Macaca fascicularis: one gene and its partners. The main gene of each other region encodes a partner of the protein of the gene in region 2 in a complex. Links are inferred from orthologs where the notes say so. Each region holds a gene or a part of one and is shown on either strand. Other genes may lie near its edges.

Region 1 (4,994 bases), on a different chromosome or scaffold from region 2:
TCTCTAAGAAAAATACAAAAATTAGCTGAACATGGTGGTACACACCTGTAATCCCAGCTACTTGGGAGGCTGAGGCAGGAGAACTGCTTGAACCCAGGAGGCAGAGGTTGCAGTAAACCAAGATCACACCACTGCACTCCAGCCTGGGCGACAGAGCGAGGCTCTGTCTCAAATCAACAAAACACCGTAATAGTGCCTCACTGCAGTACTCTGTCTGTGGCCTGTCTCTCCTGTTCTCTTCCCCCACTCAGCCCTCATGATTGAGAGCTTTTCAACAGCTCTACTTGTGCTGCCTCCTTCAAGACCACCTGTTCTTCCTCAATATCCCCCCCAGCTGGTTACCTCAATATCACTTCACCCAGCTGGTTACTTCCTGCCTCTAAACCTATGTCTCTTTTTCTGGATCTCTTAACAACCAAGGGAGTCATCCAAGGCTCAGCCCTAACCTCTCTGGTTTTTGCCTGTGCCCATCCTCCATAGGAGCATTCCGCAAGGCTGGGGGCCAGTTTAGTTTCCTCTCATCAATCTGTCATAGCTGACTGCCTATATACCTCTGTATAATACATCAGAAAGAGAGCTCCCGCCTAAAACCTCTCAATTTACTCAGTACACTTCAAAGCCTAAAGGCCTTGTAACTCCTTTCTCCCACTAACAGTAGCTGGAATTCACTGGATACTTACTATATAACTGTAAGCACTTTATAGACACTCTTTAATGTAATCCTAAAGATGCCACATAGCATTATAAATTATATTATGCAACTTTTACAAAGGAGAAAACTGAGGCCGGGCAGTGGTGGTAGTTATATACATTGAGATCACAAAGCTAAACTCACACTCAAGCAGTTTAGGATAGCATAGAATCTTAACCACTGGAGCATATCCTAAAAAAAAAGAAAGAAGGAAAAAGAAAACTAAGAGAGAAAAAGTGTCCAATCAGTTCTCTAATCCCCAAAGGAAATGCTGACCACTGCATATTACCAACCTCAATTACACTGTCAGGAATCTGGCTTTAAGTCACCAAATGCTTAGTTCACTAAGAAAGTCCTTCCTAGGAACTAAGTCAGCAACCATTTCTTTCCTTCCCTTTGCTGAAGGCTTGATGCACAAAGGACGCAAGTATCCAACTCTATTCTCTTCCTTTTACTTTCCCTAACTGCCTGTCACCAAGATCTGTCAGTTCTACACAGGACCCTTGGATCTGACATTTTTGCCCATTTCTCTGTCAAACGTGAGCATCTACTACATGTCAGACACACTGCTAAGTAGTGGAGATAAAACAGTAAGGGTAACACTGTCCTTGAATCAGGACAATCTTCCAACTATAGATCTTGGGTCCTGCTTCTCCCAAATCTGTTCTACCTGGGACAGCCACAACTGCCTGTCTCTTACCGCACCACACCCCGGCTAAAACAACTAAACACTACAACAGAATGTGGTAGACTTGGGGCTCATCTATTAACTCGTGCTTTTTAAAGCAAGTTATTTCTCTCTAGGATTGTTTCTCTTCTACTAAACGAGGAAGGTAAACTAAGGATCTAAGAAGTCAATTTTAAAATTCTCAGACAAATGTTAGAGACCACCCAATGAAAATATCTCCTAATCACTTAAGGCCAACTTCATCTCGCAATCACAGTCCAGTTCAGTCCAACCTACTTGCTATAAAGTTGCATATTTGGGCATATTACATGTTCCCACTAAGTTCTTATTAGGGGACTGATTTGCTTAGGAAGCAACATGGTGCAGTCAAAAACTCAGAGGCTGCAAACTAGCAGCACCCTCCCCAATCCATCCATCGAAAGGTTCTGCCTGGCTGGCATAGTAACTTGAGATTGCTGGGTCTGAATGCCTTTACACAGAGCACTACTATAGTGCACCAAAGTCCCAGTCTCCAACACTTCTACTGTCTCATGTCAAGTCAGCTTCTCTCGTATATGTTACCTACTTGGCCCCTTAAGGTTTGAAATCAGATTAGTGTAGACACTACTCCTATATGCCCCAATAGTGCGCTATTCTCCCTTAGTTGGAAATTTTTAAGTGAATGAAAAGCCATATTTCATTTCTTCTGGCTGAATTTCCTACTTCTCTGTATTATTAAATAGGTCTTTTCCACTCATGATCCTAAGGATCACACACAGGTAAGCATCCAAAAGTCAAACTGCCATCCTACCTGCCCCATTTTTACTTGAGTTTGGCTGAGAACATTCTCTATTCACCTCTTCATCCCTCCCCGATTGGTTTAGGCTAATCGTGGGTTCTACTTAGGCACTATTGCCTACCAAAGCTGTTCCCAGAGGGAGAGCTCCGTAAGTCCTAGCTGTAAATCAATCGCTCAACCATGGTAAACTCCTATCCCGCTTGGCAGTTCTTTCTCCAGACCTAGACCATCTTTCCTGAGTTCCCTACTCACTCCTTCCTCCTCGTAATCCAACACTCTGTACACCTTAAGTGCTTAAATGCTGAACTGCATTGCTACTTTTGTTTGTATCTCTCAAAAAACAGTATTTCCATTCTTATTTTTTTTCTGCCCTCCTTTTCTAATAACTGGAGTTCTGTGCTCGGCTCAGACTTGCTTATAAGTCTGGAAAAACTGCGCCAATGCGGTTGCTTCAGAGACCGGACTAAAGGCACAGCAAGTGCTTAATGAAAAGTTGCTGAATTGAACGGGCTTCTTCCGGCTCCGAAGCCTGCCACCCTATACTTGCTTTCTCGCTCCGCCCGCGCCCAGAAGCACTCAAACACGCTGAGAACCGAGCAGGCTTCTCGAGCCTAGGTTTCTGCATGACTGGGCCAGGGTCTCGTTTCCTCTTCGCACTGCTCCCTAACCTCCTAATTCAGCAAGGAGCACAAGTCACACAGAACCTCTCGGACCCACTGTGGGCCGAGTTTCCAGACAAGTCCTCTCGCCCCAAACGCGACCGCACTCTCACCCGGACCCCCCGGCGGCTCGCCGTGCGGCTGGGGCCCGGGGGCGCCGCCGTCCAGGATGGCGAAGGCCTCGTCGTTCTCGATGCCCGCAATTTCGCTCTCCTGCTGCGCCAAGAAGGCCGCGGCCGGGTCTTCTTCGCCGGCGCCGGCCACTCCGTTCCCCAGCGCGGGACCGCCAGGGGCGCCAGCAGGGGCGCCGAATGGATCCAGCTCAGCCATGGCGGGCAATTCAACGGCACGGACACCAACGGTGAGAGAAAAATCAACCGACCCACCGACACCACACCCGGCAGCCACCGCTGTGGTGCCGACTGGGAGAGGAGGACAAGCGGGAGGAGGGAGAAGGGGGAAGCGGAAGCCCTACCAGTGTATCCGGTCGGTCTAGGCGGTGTTGGAGAGCCAAAAAAGGAACAACCAATCAGAGGACAGCAATGGTTCAGGAGCTACCCAATCAGCAAGTGGAGGGGCGGGCCCCCGAAAACAACTCGTGACTGGGGTAGCGCGGGAGGTGAAGGAGGTGAGCTGCACGGGCCCCGGGAGGCGGAAGTGCTGCCTGACAGGGAACGTCCTACCGTCCCGGCCTGCTGGAGCTGGACTGACCAGGGACGGCCACCCCTGAGGGGACTCGAGTGCTGTACTGGGAGGTGAGGTGAAGTTAGGCGGCGACGATTGGCCGATTACTAAAGAGGCATGCCACTTAGGCTTTCTGAACCTCAGTTTCCTCATTCTTAAAATGGAAACAAGAACCCTGCTCTTGCCCCCCTCCCGGGATTGTTAGAAGATTGAATCCTTAAAAAACGAAGAAGAAGAAGAAGAAGAAGAAGAAGAAGATTGAATCCTTTTATGTGTTTGCCCTGGCTTTATAAATTTAAAATATTTAACTCTTTCAGCCAGCCTGGATTATTTGCTCCCTTAGAGCCCACAGATTTACTGTAATTGATCAAGTCCACTCCGATTTTTCTCGCCCATAAGTATTTTTATTTAAAAATGAATATATCTTATTTTCTTCAACGAAGCACTTTTGCAGCCATTACGTCTTTTCAGAGCTAGACAGAAGTTACTAAACCTGGAAAATTCCTTAAGGATCACTTGCTTCAAAGGGAAACACGGTGGCCCTGCTGTTCAAGGGGCGTCAGTCACCCAGGGAGTCAGTGACCAAGAGGAAACGCCTGTCTCCTGGGGACTTCCAAGATACTAGCTACAGTCTCTTGTGTTTACACCTTTCCTCGCTAAGGACAGCAGGAAAAAGAAAGTTCAGTGTTTCTTTTTAAATCGGGGAGATGTTAATAGCTACATGGCTGATTTTGTCTACACCGTAGAAATAACAGTGATTCCAGTTAATCATGCTCATGTTGAGGGGGTGCGCTGATGCAGGGGCCACCAGAAGACCTCCTTCACCACCACCACCACCCCCCTAAGAAATGAAAAGCCAAAAAAAGAAACTAAAAAACCAGCCAGAGGTCAACAAGAAGCTTCCAGAGATAGCAGGGGACAAGAAAGTTTTTTTTTTTTAAAAAAAACGCACATATCTTTGATGACAAAAAAAAGGGATAGTTATGAAGGAAAAATGAAGCAAATAAAAACTATTTAAAGCCTATGTTTACTTAAAGCATAATTTTAAAGTCATTTAAAGTACGAGCTATAGGAAAGTATTGAAGAAAAACATTTAAGAAAGTTAAAATGTTAGGGTCTGCAATTGATTCTGTTTCCCCTGTCTGTTGTTTTGTGCTCATCCCTAACATACATTTTCAACAGTGCATGAAGTATTTTCACATTAGCCTTGACATAGTCTCATGAGGAAGAGAGGGGCAGGGACCACTATGAGAGAGCCCAAGGAAGACAACTTTTAGTTGCTCACAACAGTAGTAGCTCTGGAACAGACAGCATTCTTTCTGGGGAAATGCATGACTTTGGGAGAAGCTCTCCTGTGATTCCCTTGCTAGAGGAGGCATTACATATTATGCAAAAGCAACAAACATGTATACACTCAGAATTGGAGGAATAGCTGATGTATTTACAGATGGTTTCACAGAGGTGGCTTGGAGCTCAGTTTTGAAATATGGGTAA
Region 2 (4,992 bases):
AAATGACTCAGGTGTGAATCCAGACTTTGCCCTTCTGGAGCAAGCATTTAATTCTTTGAGCCTAGACTTCCTCATCTGTGTAAGGACAAGACCATTAGCCTAGAAAATTATTTTGTAGATCAAGCCCCTCAATCTGTGATCTGTCCAATTATGGTAGATGCCTAATAAATGTGCAACAATCTGATAGTAGTAAAGGGCCGGTTCACAAATTACCATGAAATATCTCATTATGGGGATCATAACTAAACTCTATGAGACCGCAATCCCAGCACTTTGGGGGGCCAAGGCAGGAAAATCACTTGAGCTCAGGAGTTTGAGACCAACCTGGCCAACATGGTGAAACCCCATCTCTACTAATAATACAAAAATTGGCCAGGTGTCGTGATGGGCACCTGTAATCTCAGCTACTCAGGAGGCTGAGGCAGGAGAATCAGTTGAACCCAGGAGACTGAGGTTACAGAGACCCGAAATCGTGCCACTGCACAGCCTGGGTGACAGGGCAAGACTCCAACTGAGAGGAAAAAAAAAATGAATAAATAAACTCTGAGATGTATTTAAGTTATAACACTTTTAAATATTTTATTTTTAGATAAGATATTTTAATATATAAAAATGAAAACTACACAGAGGTTAGTAAACTCTTCTTAAAAGTGATATTTTACATGTCAAAAATGGAGCTTCAACTATCAACAGAAAGTTAAAATGGGTTAGTTTTTTTCAAATGTTTGGATGTTTGTATCCATTCAAGCCTCACATGGTCAAAGTCTTTAAAATTTTCTAAAGAAAGCTACATTTTGGAACCCAGATACAGCCGGGTTGTCTAAACAATGGGCTACATGATACACCACAGACTCCAGGCAAAGTCACAACAGGATGAGAACAGAGCCTTCAGCCTCTCTCAGATTTCCTGGCCACTGTTATTTTAAAACTTGACCATGTAAACATAAACAGGGAAAAAAATCCATTTCAGATAATCCCTACTGGTTATGATTTACGATCTTTTGTTTTTAATACAATATTTAATTGCATTAATTTACGTTAAATATTGTAATTGTTCATTACATTTTTCTTGCTCATGTTTCTGGGCACTAACCGAGAATATACATGTACACCATACATAGTTTTATATATTTATACAGTTTTTAATCATGATCTTTCCTTAAATGTCATTCATACTTCTGTTACTGACATTTACAATGGTTTCTGAAAACAAAATTGTAACTTACAAAGATGAGAGAATGATAAACAGTATGTCACACACACAAAATACAAAAGTAGTAGGTAAATGTACATAAGACTAAAATGACTTCTGTTTACCAATGTGGATGCAATTCCTAAGTAACGTAAAATACTCAAAATGAGCTGTATATATAAAAGTCGGTGAGCTATTTTGAACGGCGGCATGGTTTCGAGCTCTGGCTACAGCCCACTTTGTAACATTTGCGGCGGTTTCTACAATTAAGGGCAAAAGGCACAAAGGTAATTTTTTCACTAAACATTCTCCAGTTTGAAAACCACAACTCAAGACATCTAGGAAATTCAGTTAATTTGTACAGAAATGCTGTTTTGCCGCCAACCTTTGTACCATGACCACTACCAGTCCAAGTTCAAGATTCACGTTTTATGGTGTGAAGATAAATTTCAGCTAAACCTTAAGCGTGTTAATTTTTAGTCCAGGCGCGGGGGTTCACACCTGTAATCCCAGCACTTTGGGAGGCCGAGGCAAGTGGATCACTTGAGGTCAAGAGTTCGAGACCAGTCTGGCCAACATGGTGAAACCCCGTCCCTACTAAAAATACAAGAATTAGCTGAGCAGTGGCGTGAGCCTGCAGTCCCAGCCACTTGGGAGGCTGAGGCAGGGCAATCGCTTGAACTCGGGAGGTGGAGGTTGCAGTGAGCCGACAGAGCGAGACTCTGCCTCAAAAAAAAAATGTTAATTTTTAAAACTCTCAAATTCTGACTTTATTTAGACTGCCTCTATACCACCAGAGCATTAAAAAAAAAAAAAAGAGTCTTGTTTAGCCCGTACAGTCTATTAAGTTAGGGCAGTACTCCTCATTTCTCACTAATACTTGTAAATCAGGATTTAAGCATCCCTCCACCACATCACTTTATGCCAGATAAGATGTAATGAATTTTTGGCCAGGCGCAGTGGCTCACGCCTGTAATCCCAACACTTTGGGAGGCCGAGGCGGGTGGATCATGAGGTCAGGATTTCAAGACCTGCCTGGCCAAGATGGTGAAACCTCGTCTCTACTAAAAATACAAAAAAAATTAGCCGGGCGTGGTGGTGGGCGCTTGTAATCCCAGTTACTCGGGAGGCCGTGGCAGAGAACTGCTTGAACCCGTGAGGTGGAGGTTGCAGTGAGCAGAGATCGCGCCACTGCACTCCAGCCTAGGCGCCAGAGTGAGGCTCCGTCTCAAAAAAAAAAAAAAAAAAAAGATGTAATGAATTTTTTAAACTGTGCGGAAATACTTTTAAACATGGATGTTCTAGTAATAACCCTATCAAATTATGTTCTACTTAAAATCCCAGAGTTTGCGCATTTTAATGTTTTCGGGAGTTTTTGGAAATTAACAAAAAAAGTTCTTGTTCAGTAGCATATCCGTAAATTGACATATTCAAGGTACTGGACTACCTAGAGACTAAGAATAAGGCTTTAGAAAGTCTCAATCTGGTCTCCTACATGATTAGACTATTAATGGTATCCTTTGATCTTCACATCTCAGAACAAATTACGCTCTCCCTGCGCTGAATTTTAAGCGTGTTTACAAAAGAGAAAATAAAACTATCACGGAGTGTCCAAGTCCGAGTTAGGCACCTGAGTGCTCTGCTTCTACCTGGGAGCCAGGGAAGAAACACAAAGGGACCTTGGTGATGAGAACCCATGAAAGGAAACTGTCTCTCGGTGGAAACGAGAACCACCTCGGCCCCACCGCTGCCCAGGGCCCACCCATCACCTGCTTCTCCCACCCGCGTCCTCGGGCAGTGAACAGAAGCGTCGGCTCCGGAGCTGCTACAGGAGGCCCGGGAGCAAGGCCGGGCCGGGGACCGCGAGACCCCGGCGCCGACGCACTGCAGCGGGGGCTCCGGGACACTCACCGGTGCAGGCGCAAAGGCAGGTGCGCGGCGGCAGGGCTACCTGTGCGGGTGAAGCTGGAGGGCGCAGTGAGAAGTGATGAGGGCCAGTGAAGAGGGCGACGACGCGGACGGGAACCAGGACGGGGCGGCGACAGCAGCCGGGCTGCGGCTGGCTTCCTGCTCGGACAGATCCCGAGTCGGTCTCCGCCCGCCGGCCGGCGCCCCGCCGAGTCCCCGGCACTGCGGCGTGCACGTCACGGCTACGGAGCGCCCGAGGGGGCGGGGGCGCCGGGGCCGCGGCAGGCCGCCGGGCGCGCGCTCTGGGAGGGGGCGCGCTCCGGCAGAGGGCGCGCGACCCCCGGGGTCGCCCCGCCCGCGGCGCAGAGCCTCCGGGGCGGGGGAAGGCGCCTTGCGGCGCAGGGAGGGGCTGCCGTGGGACAAGCCTGGAGTTGTTGTTCTTCCCACGGCGAAACGGCCTCCTTTGCCGCGGTAGTTGTTTCCAGACCCGACGAAGCAGGTCCTCTCCGGCTGGATGCTGTGACTGTGCAGTCTGCCAACAGCGAGAATCAGTTCAAGCAGGGAGAAAGTTGTTCGGAGAGGGGGCGAGGAGTCCGGAGCTCCGCGCGGGGGACCTAGGAACCAGGGGGACCCAGGAACCAGGTGTCCGCGCTTGGGCGGCAGCGAGGCTGCGTGGCGGTTGCGGCAAGAACCACTGTTCACTCGGCTCCGGATCGGGCCGTCTGCCCTTCCTAAGGAGGAACCTTCCTGCACAACTAAGTTGCCATTCGGTCTTTGTAGGAGGGAGTTTGGGATGGGAATTTCGCACCTGTTTGCCTCTTCCCCCTCCCACCCTCGCCACCGCATTCACTTTTTAGAGCCCTACCTTCTCAGTCGTTTAAATGTTACTGTTTTTTTAAGTGACATATCTGTTAGTCACCTTTTAAAATATGAAGTACCTATGCAAATTTGAATTATGTGGTGAAAAAACACCTTTACGATGAAAACAGCTTCTTTTAAGGCAAGGAAATGACAATTGACTATAATGCTAAATGTATCCGCTGAAAAAAGAGCCTACTTACACATGAGAATTACACGTTTTTCTCCAACATTTATATGTAGCGGCTTGGAAACGTCTGGAAATCTAGAAGATTCTGACAAGGAGACAAATTTCTGATACTTAAAGGCTCCGCGGCTCTCTGGGTGGAGAAATTTAAAAACTAAGTTCTGATAAGATGTTTTAGCATTCAACTAAAACAATAAAATATTTAAAATAAAATAGGGAAGTAAGAAAGAGGAAGAGAAACAAAGAACGGAAATAATTTACAGCAATCTCAGAAATTTAATTCCAAATTGCCAGAAGGTAAGTCTTAAGTATATAAAACTAAATTTCAAAACAAACTGAAAAAAAGAGGGAGAAGATGAAGATGGCTGCCTCAGTTCGCTGTTCTGACTCAATTTTGGATTTAATACTAAAACTTCATTTGGCAAACCAATAGAAGTCAATACTTTTTTTTTATTTTCTTAAATTTTTTGTGTTGTTGTTGGTAAACGGGCTTGCTATGTTGCCTAGGCTGATCTTGAACCTTGGCCTCAAGTGATTCTCCCACCTTGGCCTCCCAAAGTGCTGGGATTACAAGTGTGAGCCACCACTCCTAGAGAAATCAATACATTTTAAAGATTTTTTGTAGCTAATGACTTCCGTGATTTTTTTTCTCTCCTTTGCCCCACACTTCCAATCCATTACTGAGTGCCTTTGCTTCTGGCTCTATAATATCTCTCTAATGTATCAAATTCCTCTTTATAGCCACCACCATTATCTTGTTTCAGGCCACTATCATTTCAAGTATTGCATATTGCCTTAGTTACCTAACCAGTTTCCCAGGCCGCAGTTTTATCCCCTTCTAATCCAG
Region 3 (4,234 bases), on a different chromosome or scaffold from region 2:
CCTGGCCAACAAGGTGAAACCCTGTGCCTACTAATAATACAAAAATCAGCCAGGTGTGGTCACGTATGCCTGTATCCCAGCTGCTTGGGAGGCTGAGGCAGGAGAATAGCTTGACCAAGAGGCAGAGGCTGCAGTGAGCCAAGATCGCACCCACTGCACTCCAGCCTGGGTGACAGAGTGAGACTTCGTCTCAAAAAAAAATAAAAAATAAAAAATAAAAAACCATAGACATACGGGTTTTCATTTTTAAGATTGCTCAATTGTTTCTTCAGGTACCTGTCACCAGGTGAAGGTGCCTGGGTCAGGGCAGGTGCTTGGGTCCTGAGGTCCAGGGAGCTGCCTGGCATTGCCGACTGCGGCCTCACGCCAGCATGCCTTTCTCCTGGAGGCAACGCTGAGGCTAGGCACTGCCCAGTGTTTATTTTGGCTGTCATGTGGACCCTGTCCCCCGCCCCCTCCAAGGTCAGGCCTCTGGGATTTCCTCATTGCCCTTAGCACGGGGGCAGGGCGGGTCCTTTCAACATCCTGTGGGCTCCCCTCCTGCTCTCATGACTAAGCACAGGGTGGCTCTGCTTCTGCTTCCCTGCTGGCTCCTCTCAAGAGCAGAAGAGCAGCACTTGGAGCCAGGTTCAAATCGCAGCTCTGCTATTTACCAGCCATATAACCCTTGACGTGTTATCTGATCTCCCTATGCCTGTTTCCTGACCTGGAAAATGGGGGTGGTGAGGATTACGTGAGTGATGTGAACCAACTGTCCACATACAGCTCGGGGCAGGGGAAGTGCCCAATGCATGGGAGCTGTCTCTGCGTCCACCTTGCTCAGCCTTCTGAGTCCCCAAACTGCTCACACCTCACGGCCTTGGCTTGGGGCGTACGAAGCTGCCTGCGCAGTCTTCTCTCTTCCGGAGCCCTTACTGGGTTTCAAGTTTGCGTATTCATTCGACTCTGAGGCTGCTCCTTTTCTCCCCACCCTGCACCACCAAGTGAGGACCCCTGCACAGTCGGCTCGGTCAGGCACACAGACACGGTGGCGAGGAAGACACAGCGCTGCCCTCAAGGAGTCTGAGGCCTGGTGGACAAGCAGCAGGAACTCACACAGTTACACAAAGCACTCCGTCCCCTCATGAATTCTGGTGACTCCTGGGCCTTGGGGATTCCTAGCTTTCTTGGTGCCTCTATGACCGACCTCCACGCGGAGGGTGCTTTTTGCCAAATTCAGTGCCCCTTCCGCTCCAGTGACCCCCAATCTGGGCTGGGGCCATGGCAATACCACGTGACACACGGGAGCAGGCACCATTAGCTCCACCTGCCTCGGCTCCCCAAGACCAGTGGCTGGCGCACCTCAAGGCTGGCACCAGCCTCTCACACCTGCCTGCTGAGTCTCGGATTGTGAATGGTGGAAATCTCACCTTCCAGCTTTTTCTCAGGACCCCGTACTGGATGCCAGGGACAAGCCTGGGTGTTTTCCATGCAATGCCTTATTTAACTCTCACATCAAACTTGTGCCATAAAGGCTATTGTTAGAGCAACCTTACAGATGAGGAAACTGAGGCAAGGGGGGGCTACTTTGTTCAAACCAGAAAGTGGTAGAGCTGCGGTCTGATTCCAACCTGATGGCGTCCAAAGTCCCTGGTGGTAACATGGCCCCAACTGTGACCAAGGAGTATGGAGTAAGCCATGAAGACCGTCATGAGGACTGGGAAAGAACGCACGTGGGCAACTGGGCAGGAGTCATCTGAGCCCCACGGGGTGGTGCCATCTGCTCACCTGCAGCAGCTCCAGGTCTGCAGGCTCGACCTGGGTGGGGACCAGCTCCGTCAGCATCTCCGACATCACCCTCACGTTCCCACTCACCATCTCCAGCTCACTGCGCAGCTTCCCAATCTGAAACACACGGTTGGTCGTGATGAGAGAAGCCAGGGGTTTGGAGCCCATGTCACTCACAGGGACAGAACCCAGTACCACCAATCCTGGGTGCAGCACCAGGGAGCCCACCTCCTAGCAGACTCTCTAGGCAGCCTCCCTCCTGGCTCCCACAGTGACAGCCCTGCACTAGAGACCTGCCCCACCCCTCCTACAGACCCCTCACAGAGGCACTACCAACCGTGACCATCTCTACACCGGGGAGCCTGGTGCAGGGAGAAGCCGAAAGGAAATGAACTGAGGGGAAATGAGCCACCAAGTGTGGCTGGAAGGCTCCAGCATCTCCTGGGTCTAACACGGGAGCTAACGAGGCCCTGGAGGGTGGCTCCCCACAGGAGGAGGAGGGAGGCTGCAGGCCCTCTCTCTCTCTCCCCTTAGAGGACTGGGATTCTGCCCTCTCTCCTCCTCGGAGGACTGGGATTCCGCCCTCTCTCTATCTCTTAGGAGGCTTCTGCCCTCTTTCTCCTCCTAAAGGACTGGGATTTTGTCTTGTTTCTGTCTGTTTTGGTGTCTCAGGCTCTTCTAAGGATAGTCCTTGCCGTGTCCCTCACCTTGAATATGAAACTCAGATTTAGCACTTGTTCCAAGGGATGTGGGCAGGTTTTCAATGGTCAAAGGGTTCCAAGGAATTGGGCTTGGGGAAACATTTTCAATAAAGCTGTAGTCTCCTCAAAGAGGTTAGGTTGGGGAAGGCCATTGGTATAAGGATCTTATGCTGTGGGACCTTGTAGCGTGTTTAATACCCTCATGCATACTGGGGATGCCCAGGAAAAGATCGATACGAAAGCTTCCAAGATTTATTTGACTGAAGAACCTTTTTACGTTTTTTTTTTTTTTGAGACGGAGTCTCGCTCTGTCGCCCAGGCTGGAGTGCAGTGGCCGGATCTCAGCTCACTGCAAGCTCCGCCTCCCGGGTTCGGGCCATTCTCCTGTCTCAGCCTCCTGAGTAGCTGGGACTACAGGCGCCCGCCACCTCGCCCGGCTAGTTTTTTGTATTTTTTAGAAGAGACGGGGTTTCACCGTGTTAGCCAGGATGGTCTCGATCTCCTGACCTAGTGATCCGCCCGTCTCGGCCTCCCAAAGTGCTGGGATTACAGGCTTGAGCCACCGCGCCCGGCCACCTTTTTACGTTTTGAGAAATGCTGGTACATTGTAAATCATGTGGCTGAGTTATAGTTGATTTCAGAGTGTCACTATATACATTCATGATTGTGATAGTAGCTACCATTTATAGACTACCTAATAAGTGCCAAGCATTGAACATATATTGCTAACTTAATTTTTTGCCATAGGTAGATATCAATACCCCTGCTTTTACAGACGAAGAAATAGAATGTAGAGACAAGTAGTATATCCACTATGGTTCATTGACACCTTCCAAAACCTGCAAAATGTTTGATCTATTTGGCTGACTTAATGAATACTCTTGGTATGAGTGAGTGGAAAAACTACTGATCACAAACCCCCTGCATCCAAATCAGACTTAATTACAAAGGAGCCTGGGAGTAACATCACTGCACACCTGATGTCTTCACATGTCCCAAGAGACAAAAGGGGACTCTTGAATTAAACAAAGATTAGTTTTGTTTAGCAAGCACCTTCTTGAATTAGGAGTAATTAGCATCTTAATCCACATAGATGCTAGACTACAGGCAACTGGTTAAAATCGTAACTGAGTTAGACAATTTTTTGGATCATAAGGTGCTTTTACAATTTTTTACACACTTTTAACCCATTCAGAAAAAAAAAGTGCAGCTCGCTGTCAGCACTCATTTAATTTTACATAAACACGCTCTTTGAGGCTGAAGTAAACCTGACTATTTTTAACATGAAAATAAAACATAAAAACTGTTCTTGGAGTTATTTCTAAACAGAACTCGTCTCCAATCCTAATGTAACAGAAATGTATATGATGTTACATTAGGATTAGAGACAAGAGTATCCTTGGGGTAAACAGGCAATGTGTTAATAATTTTGTCCAGTTAGCAACATTTTCTAGTAATATTTGTAACTCTGGGGGGTGATTTCACAACTTGCTAAGAGAAAACAAGTCACGGAAGTTTCTCTTCAAATAGGTTAGGGTTAGAATGAGTTCAAATGATACATAAAGCGGGTCCTGAGGACGCTTATTGGGAAAGTTAAGCTTCACTTTTTTCTCCATCATGCATCCGTGTCTTCTTCACCAGCACACGCAGTAGCTCCGCCTTTAAGCTGCACTGATGTGATGGGTCTGATGCGTGTACAACACCTCTAATGTGGGTGCTCCCACAGTGTGCAGGACTCTGCCCCCACCCCAGCAGCCAAAAGTCTA
Region 4 (4,799 bases), on a different chromosome or scaffold from region 2:
TAATCCCAGCTATTAGGTAGGCTGAGGCAGGAGAATCACCTGAACCCACGAGGTGGAGGGTGCAGTCAGCCAAGATTGTGCCACTGCACTCCAGCCCAGGCAACAGAACAATACTCCATCTCAAAAAACAAAAATCAGCAAAAAAAAGTTATTTACATCATTATTGAGGTAATTGCTTGCTGAGTAAATGGGCTACAAAAATGGAATCTCCTTGGTGTGCATTTCATTTTAATAAGTTACTTCTGTTTCAAAGTGAACCACTGAAATATTATGCATACTATCCTATGATGACCAATACTTTATCCTGCATATGATTAACTTTTTTTATACAGATGGAAAACTTGCATTAATGTTGGTTACATGCATAAACATGATAAAATACATATATACTGGAGTTATAAAATGTTATAAACTTTGAGGTAACACGTGAAAACACCTCGTGTACATTATCTTGGAAACTGACCTTGCAAGTCAGTACACTGAAAATGTTGAAAGTGGCTACCAAACTATTGCTGAGACTCTGGAAAACTTGGGAAACAATATATCTTCATGGGAGGGAAAAAAAAAAAAGATGGGCACAATGGCTCCATGTCTGTGCTATTCAAAAGACTGAGGTAGGAGGATCCCTTGAGAGTAGGAGTTCAAACCACCCTGAGCAACGTAGAAAAACCACATCTCTAAAAAAAAGGTTTTTAATTAGGCAGATGTGGTGGCACATGCCTGTAGTCCCAGCTACTTGGGAGGTTGAAGCAGGAGGATTGCCTGAGCCTAGGAGTTAGAAGCTGCAGTGAGCTACAATCACACCACTGTACTCCAGCCTGGGCAACAGAGTGAGACCCCATCTCATTAAAAAAAAAAAAGAAAGAAAAACAGAAAACAAAAAAAAGAATACACTGAGTTCAAATCCAGGCTCTGCCACTTGCTACGTGTAATTCTGAAAAAATTCTGAACCTCAAAGTCTGTTTCCTCTCTGTAAAGTGGAGATATTAATAATAATACTTACTTCTTAGGGATTAAGTAGATTGAATAAAATCATGTACCCTGAGCTCAGAATAATGTCATATATAATGATGAGGAGAAGTGTTAATGCAAAATACAGATACTCCTCTACTTACCAAGGTGTTATGTCCCAATAAATCCATTGTGAGTCAAAAATACCATAAGGTGAAAATGCATTTAATACCCCAATAAACCCAGAAAGTGGAAAAATCTTAAGTCCAGGAAGTTACATCCCAATAAATCCATGGCAAAGTCAAAAATCTTAAGTCTAACTATCATAAACCCAGGACCATCTGTAACTAAAACTGAAGTCCCTGGTTACAGGAAAGACATTTAAAGCTGTCAGTTAAGTATACTAACAAGCTCACTAGCTTAGGAATCAGAAGATCCAAGTTTAAATTACAGCCCAGTTTTTTTTCTTGCTAGGTATGTGACCTTGGCTAAGGGCCAATCACTTTGCACTTCAGCCCTTCATTTAACTGTTAGGTATTAATAATTTTAGTTACCATGTATTAAGCCCTGATAAACTATGCAATCTGATACGTTTACATGCAGACTCCACTCTTCACAACACTCTTCAAGACAAGTATTCTAATCTCTATTTTATAGATGGCTAAAACTGAGAGAAGTTAAACTCATTCAAGTCCACACAGCTCATAAATGGTAGAACCTGGGTCCATGTCCAAGTTATCGCGTTTAACCTGCCACCTGCCTCCCCTAGAGATCAAAGGAAAGTGTCCTGTGAAAGTGTTTTTTGAAAAAAAAAAAAAATCCTACATAAATGTAAAGTATTATTATTAGTAACCTATATCAATACAAATAATTCACAGATGGGTTTACGATTTGCCCCTTAGTACCTGGGAACTTCGAAAGAACAAAGGGTTACACTTTAAGGTCTTTCGTCTCCTCTTGGAATTTTGCCTTGACCTCGATTTCCCTTGAACAGACCTGATAAACAACTAATTAAAGAACTCCAGGTGCCGCTGTATGCCACTTAAAGACAGCTCTCTGCACTACTGCGAGTCCAGGGCAACAAAATTATGTGCTTTTCCTAGAAATGTGGACAAAATATTTTGTTGAGCTAACTTCTCACACCTACCTTTGCAGTTCACTTGGGTTAGCACAAATAAAGTGATCACATAAACGTTCGCATAAACTAGTGCTTTCGGTCATGCCTGTGTCAAACTTAGTTCCAGGCCCGCATGCAATCTAATTAAAGCAAATTTCAGTCCCGTTTTAAGGATATGATGTAAAAGAGCTGATTTTCCTCATGAAAATTTTGTTAACTAGTCCCATGGGATTAAGTATGAATCTCTAGGTTATCCACTCTTGGAATAACAGCCCAGCTTTTTAAACTTCTTGGAAATACCACCCAAGGATTTCTGGTGTTGATGTTAGAAATGACAGATTGGGGGAAAGTGGGCCTCCGTTTCGTATTACCTGGAAGGCTCTTCAATTTTTCCCCCCATTTAATCTGGGTATCACCTGGAAGGCACTTCAATTTTTTTTTTCCGTTAATCTGGGGAGATGACCTGCGTGACTCTCACGCCTGCGGAGGAAACAGGAGAGTAACGTCCAGATGAGGTGGAGGGTATTAACCTGCCCCGCCAGATCGCTAGTCTGGGAAGGTACTCACACCTTGAACGGCCGCCGGAATCCGGGACATCTGGAGCAAACACATTTACAAGCGGAAGAAAGGTTGCCTCCCCCAACCCGCTTCCCAAAGGCCAGATCTCGGAGCAAGGGGGAAGGTGACTTCCTCCGGTCGTGCCAACTTACCTTTTCCCTTCCCGGGAAGGCCCACTCACTTCCCCTCGGGACGCCCCCGGCGGACTCAACACGGCATGGATTTCGCGCTCCGGGAAGCGCCGCTCAACCCTCCTAGGCCCACCAAAGTCCGCGCGGCGCGGCGGAGAGGCGGGAGAGCGTGAGCACCTGACGCCTTACCTCCGACGGCGAAATCTCAAACGCGCCCGCGATCTGGGCGTAGAGCTCCTGGATGCTGGAGAAGCCCTCCACTCGGCCCGTGGCGCTCCCGTGCGCCAGCTGCGCGTGGAAGACCAGCCTGCGTGCGGGAGCCCGGGACGCTGAGGGGCTCCCGCCGCCCGCGCCCGTCGGCTCGCCCTTCACCAGCCCGGCGGTCTCCTTGGACTTGGCCTTCTTCTTCCCCCGTAGCCTCAGGGGCATCTTGCAGGGCCGAGGGCGCGGGCCCACCTGCACTGCCGGCCGCCGCCTCCTCCCCGCCGGCGCCTCGGACTTTGCGCCCCGGGCCCCGCGCAGGTAAAAGCAGCCTCTGGGCCAATGGCAGCCGCGCTTCCGCCTGGCTGCGTCGGGTCGGGGCCTCGACCTCCACCCCTGGACCGGAGCAGCCGCCCGCCCGTCCGCCCGCCCAGCCTCCTCCGGGATGGATCTGGAGAGAAAGAAAGTTACGCGTAGTCCCTCATCCGATCACCAGGTTTATCCCCACTCCTTGTAAAAAATGGCTCGATTTCCGTGAAGGCCTGAGGATGCCGACGCTGCGGAACAGTACGCCTTAGAAGGCAAACACGCTGGCCCTTAGGTGCTTTTCATAAATCTGTAGTAGGCACCCAGGCACGATCTGGCCATAGGCCTTCGAGTCCGTACGTCTGGGCTTTTGGGGATAGGGATTTAAGTAGAAGTCAACCTTCGTCTGCATTTTCTGCGTCTTACACTCTGCAGGGCAGAATTGGAAGAGAAAGTCACATAACCTTGAGCTTGGTGCTACGTCGAATTCATAAACACCCTCAGCCGGGTCCTCGGCCCCTCTGAGTTTTCCTTTTGCCTATTTCCTGGGCCGCTTCCTCTCCCAACATTCAGCACGCCTCCAAAGTCATTTGCCCCAGCTCTGCCCTTCTTAGTCTCTACAGAGGACCTTACCTCATATAGTACAAAGAAAATTGAAGCCATTCGGTGTGAAGTATGAGTTCCCTCAATTCCCCACCCCGCGTTTATTGCATTGTTTTCAAGTCCAGTCCCCTCCAACTACGTTTTTTACAACAAAGCAGAACAGTCTTGAATTATTAGCTACGAAATTTCCTCACTTCTTCTCTGCTCTTAGACGCACTGTGATCAGACTTTGCCCCCACACTCTACTGAAATTTCACTTACTATGCAATTTCAGTGGAGTGAAATCACTATCATATCTTAATTACCAAACACAAGTAATTATTTTAGGTCTTTATCTTACTTGATCTGCGTTGCCCATTTTATTCTTCTTAAATTTTGTCCTATTTTAGCTTACTTACCTCTCCTCTCCCCATCCTCCACCCTGCTCCTTGCTAACTGCTACTCTCCAGGAATTGTATTCACCGACAGTTTTTCCTCCACTATCTTCCCTTCTTACTTAGCTTTGCATGTTCTTCCTGTATGACCACATCAACATTCTCAGTTTCACAGAGGTTGCTGTCTACCAAATATCTCCACCTCCAGCTTATTCTACCAGAAAGGGAATGTACTGTAGGAAACTCAAATTGAGACTAAACAAAACTGACCTCATCATTTCTCCTGAATGTATCTTTTCTTTTCTTTTCTTTTCTTTCTGATAATAGGATCACCAAGCACTCCCAGACCAGACATTGTGGAGTCGTTGTATCAGGATTTTTCCTTTTCCCTCACCTCTCACATCAATTCAGTCCAGAAAATCCGTGTTTCTCAACTTAAGGTTAGCAGATGTACTGGGGGAGGAGAGTCTTAAGAATTCCTTAGGCCGGGCGCGGTGGCTCACGCCTGTAATCTCAGCACTTTGGGAGGCCGAGACGGGCGGATCACGAGGTCAGGAG

The links.
Region 1: the proteins of MYO6 (region 2) and CLTA are in contact, whole or in part, in an NMR structure (PDB 6E5N), measured with the Homo sapiens proteins. The link is inferred for Macaca fascicularis from reciprocal best matches to the Homo sapiens genes MYO6 and CLTA. Residues at the interface, in NP_001355794.1 of Homo sapiens: Met1053, Thr1054, Pro1055, Met1058, Ala1059, Met1062, Ser1087, Trp1089, Lys1090, Tyr1091, Glu1113, Arg1117, Leu1118, Val1120, Tyr1121, Trp1124, Asn1128; in NP_009027.1 of Homo sapiens: Glu47, Asn48, Glu50, Ala51, Phe52, Ile54, Leu55, Asp56, Gly57, Gly58, Ala59, Pro60, Gly61.
Region 3: the proteins of MYO6 (region 2) and TOM1 are in contact, whole or in part, in a crystal structure (PDB 6J56), measured with the Homo sapiens proteins. The link is inferred for Macaca fascicularis from reciprocal best matches to the Homo sapiens genes MYO6 and TOM1. Residues at the interface, in NP_001355794.1 of Homo sapiens: Ile1182, Phe1184, Trp1202, Gln1214, Glu1216, His1218, Asp1220, Lys1221, Pro1222, Ile1224, Leu1226, Glu1234, Met1235, Cys1236, Leu1238, Glu1242, Thr1243, Gly1244, Leu1245, Arg1247; in NP_005479.1 of Homo sapiens: Ser440, Glu441, Phe443, Phe446, Leu447, Arg450, Ala451, Ala453, Ala454, Asp455, Leu457, Pro458, Asn459, Leu460, Ser461.
Region 4: the proteins of MYO6 (region 2) and GIPC2 are in contact, whole or in part, in a crystal structure (PDB 5V6H), measured with the Mus musculus proteins. The link is inferred for Macaca fascicularis from reciprocal best matches to the Homo sapiens genes MYO6 and GIPC2. Residues at the interface, in NP_001034635.2 of Mus musculus: Ser1055, Lys1056, Trp1057, Lys1058, Tyr1059, Arg1084, Arg1085, Leu1086, Val1088, Tyr1089, Trp1092, Lys1093, Asn1096; in NP_058563.1 of Mus musculus: Glu255, Leu256, Tyr257, Met258, Gly259, Ile260, Asp262, Asp264, Leu265, Thr268, Thr289, Leu290, Asp292, Phe293, Ala294, Pro296.

Annotation. Positions count from the first base shown.
Region 1 is NC_088389.1:63,161,569-63,166,562, forward strand, and holds the start of CLTA (clathrin light chain A), read right to left. Parts: upstream 3,241-4,994; 5' UTR 3,147-3,240; coding exon 2,930-3,146; intron 1-2,929. UniProt on the Homo sapiens protein: Clathrin is the major protein of the polyhedral coat of coated pits and vesicles.
Region 2 is NC_088378.1:99,369,637-99,374,628, forward strand, and holds the start of MYO6 (unconventional myosin-VI), read right to left. Parts: upstream 3,289-4,992; 5' UTR 3,104-3,288; intron 1-3,103. UniProt on the Homo sapiens protein: Myosins are actin-based motor molecules with ATPase activity. Unconventional myosins serve in intracellular movements. Myosin 6 is a reverse-direction motor protein that moves towards the minus-end of actin filaments.
Region 3 is NC_088384.1:16,339,950-16,344,183, forward strand, and holds part of TOM1 (target of Myb1 membrane trafficking protein), read right to left. Parts: exon of another isoform or gene 3,045-4,234; intron 2,738-3,044; exon of another isoform or gene 2,707-2,737; intron 1,885-2,706; coding exon 1,768-1,884; intron 1-1,767.
Region 4 is NC_088375.1:156,577,180-156,581,978, forward strand, and holds the start of GIPC2 (PDZ domain-containing protein GIPC2), read right to left. Parts: upstream 3,253-4,799; 5' UTR 3,187-3,252; coding exon 2,947-3,186; exon of another isoform or gene 2,779-2,946; intron 2,549-2,778; exon of another isoform or gene 2,440-2,548; intron 1-2,439.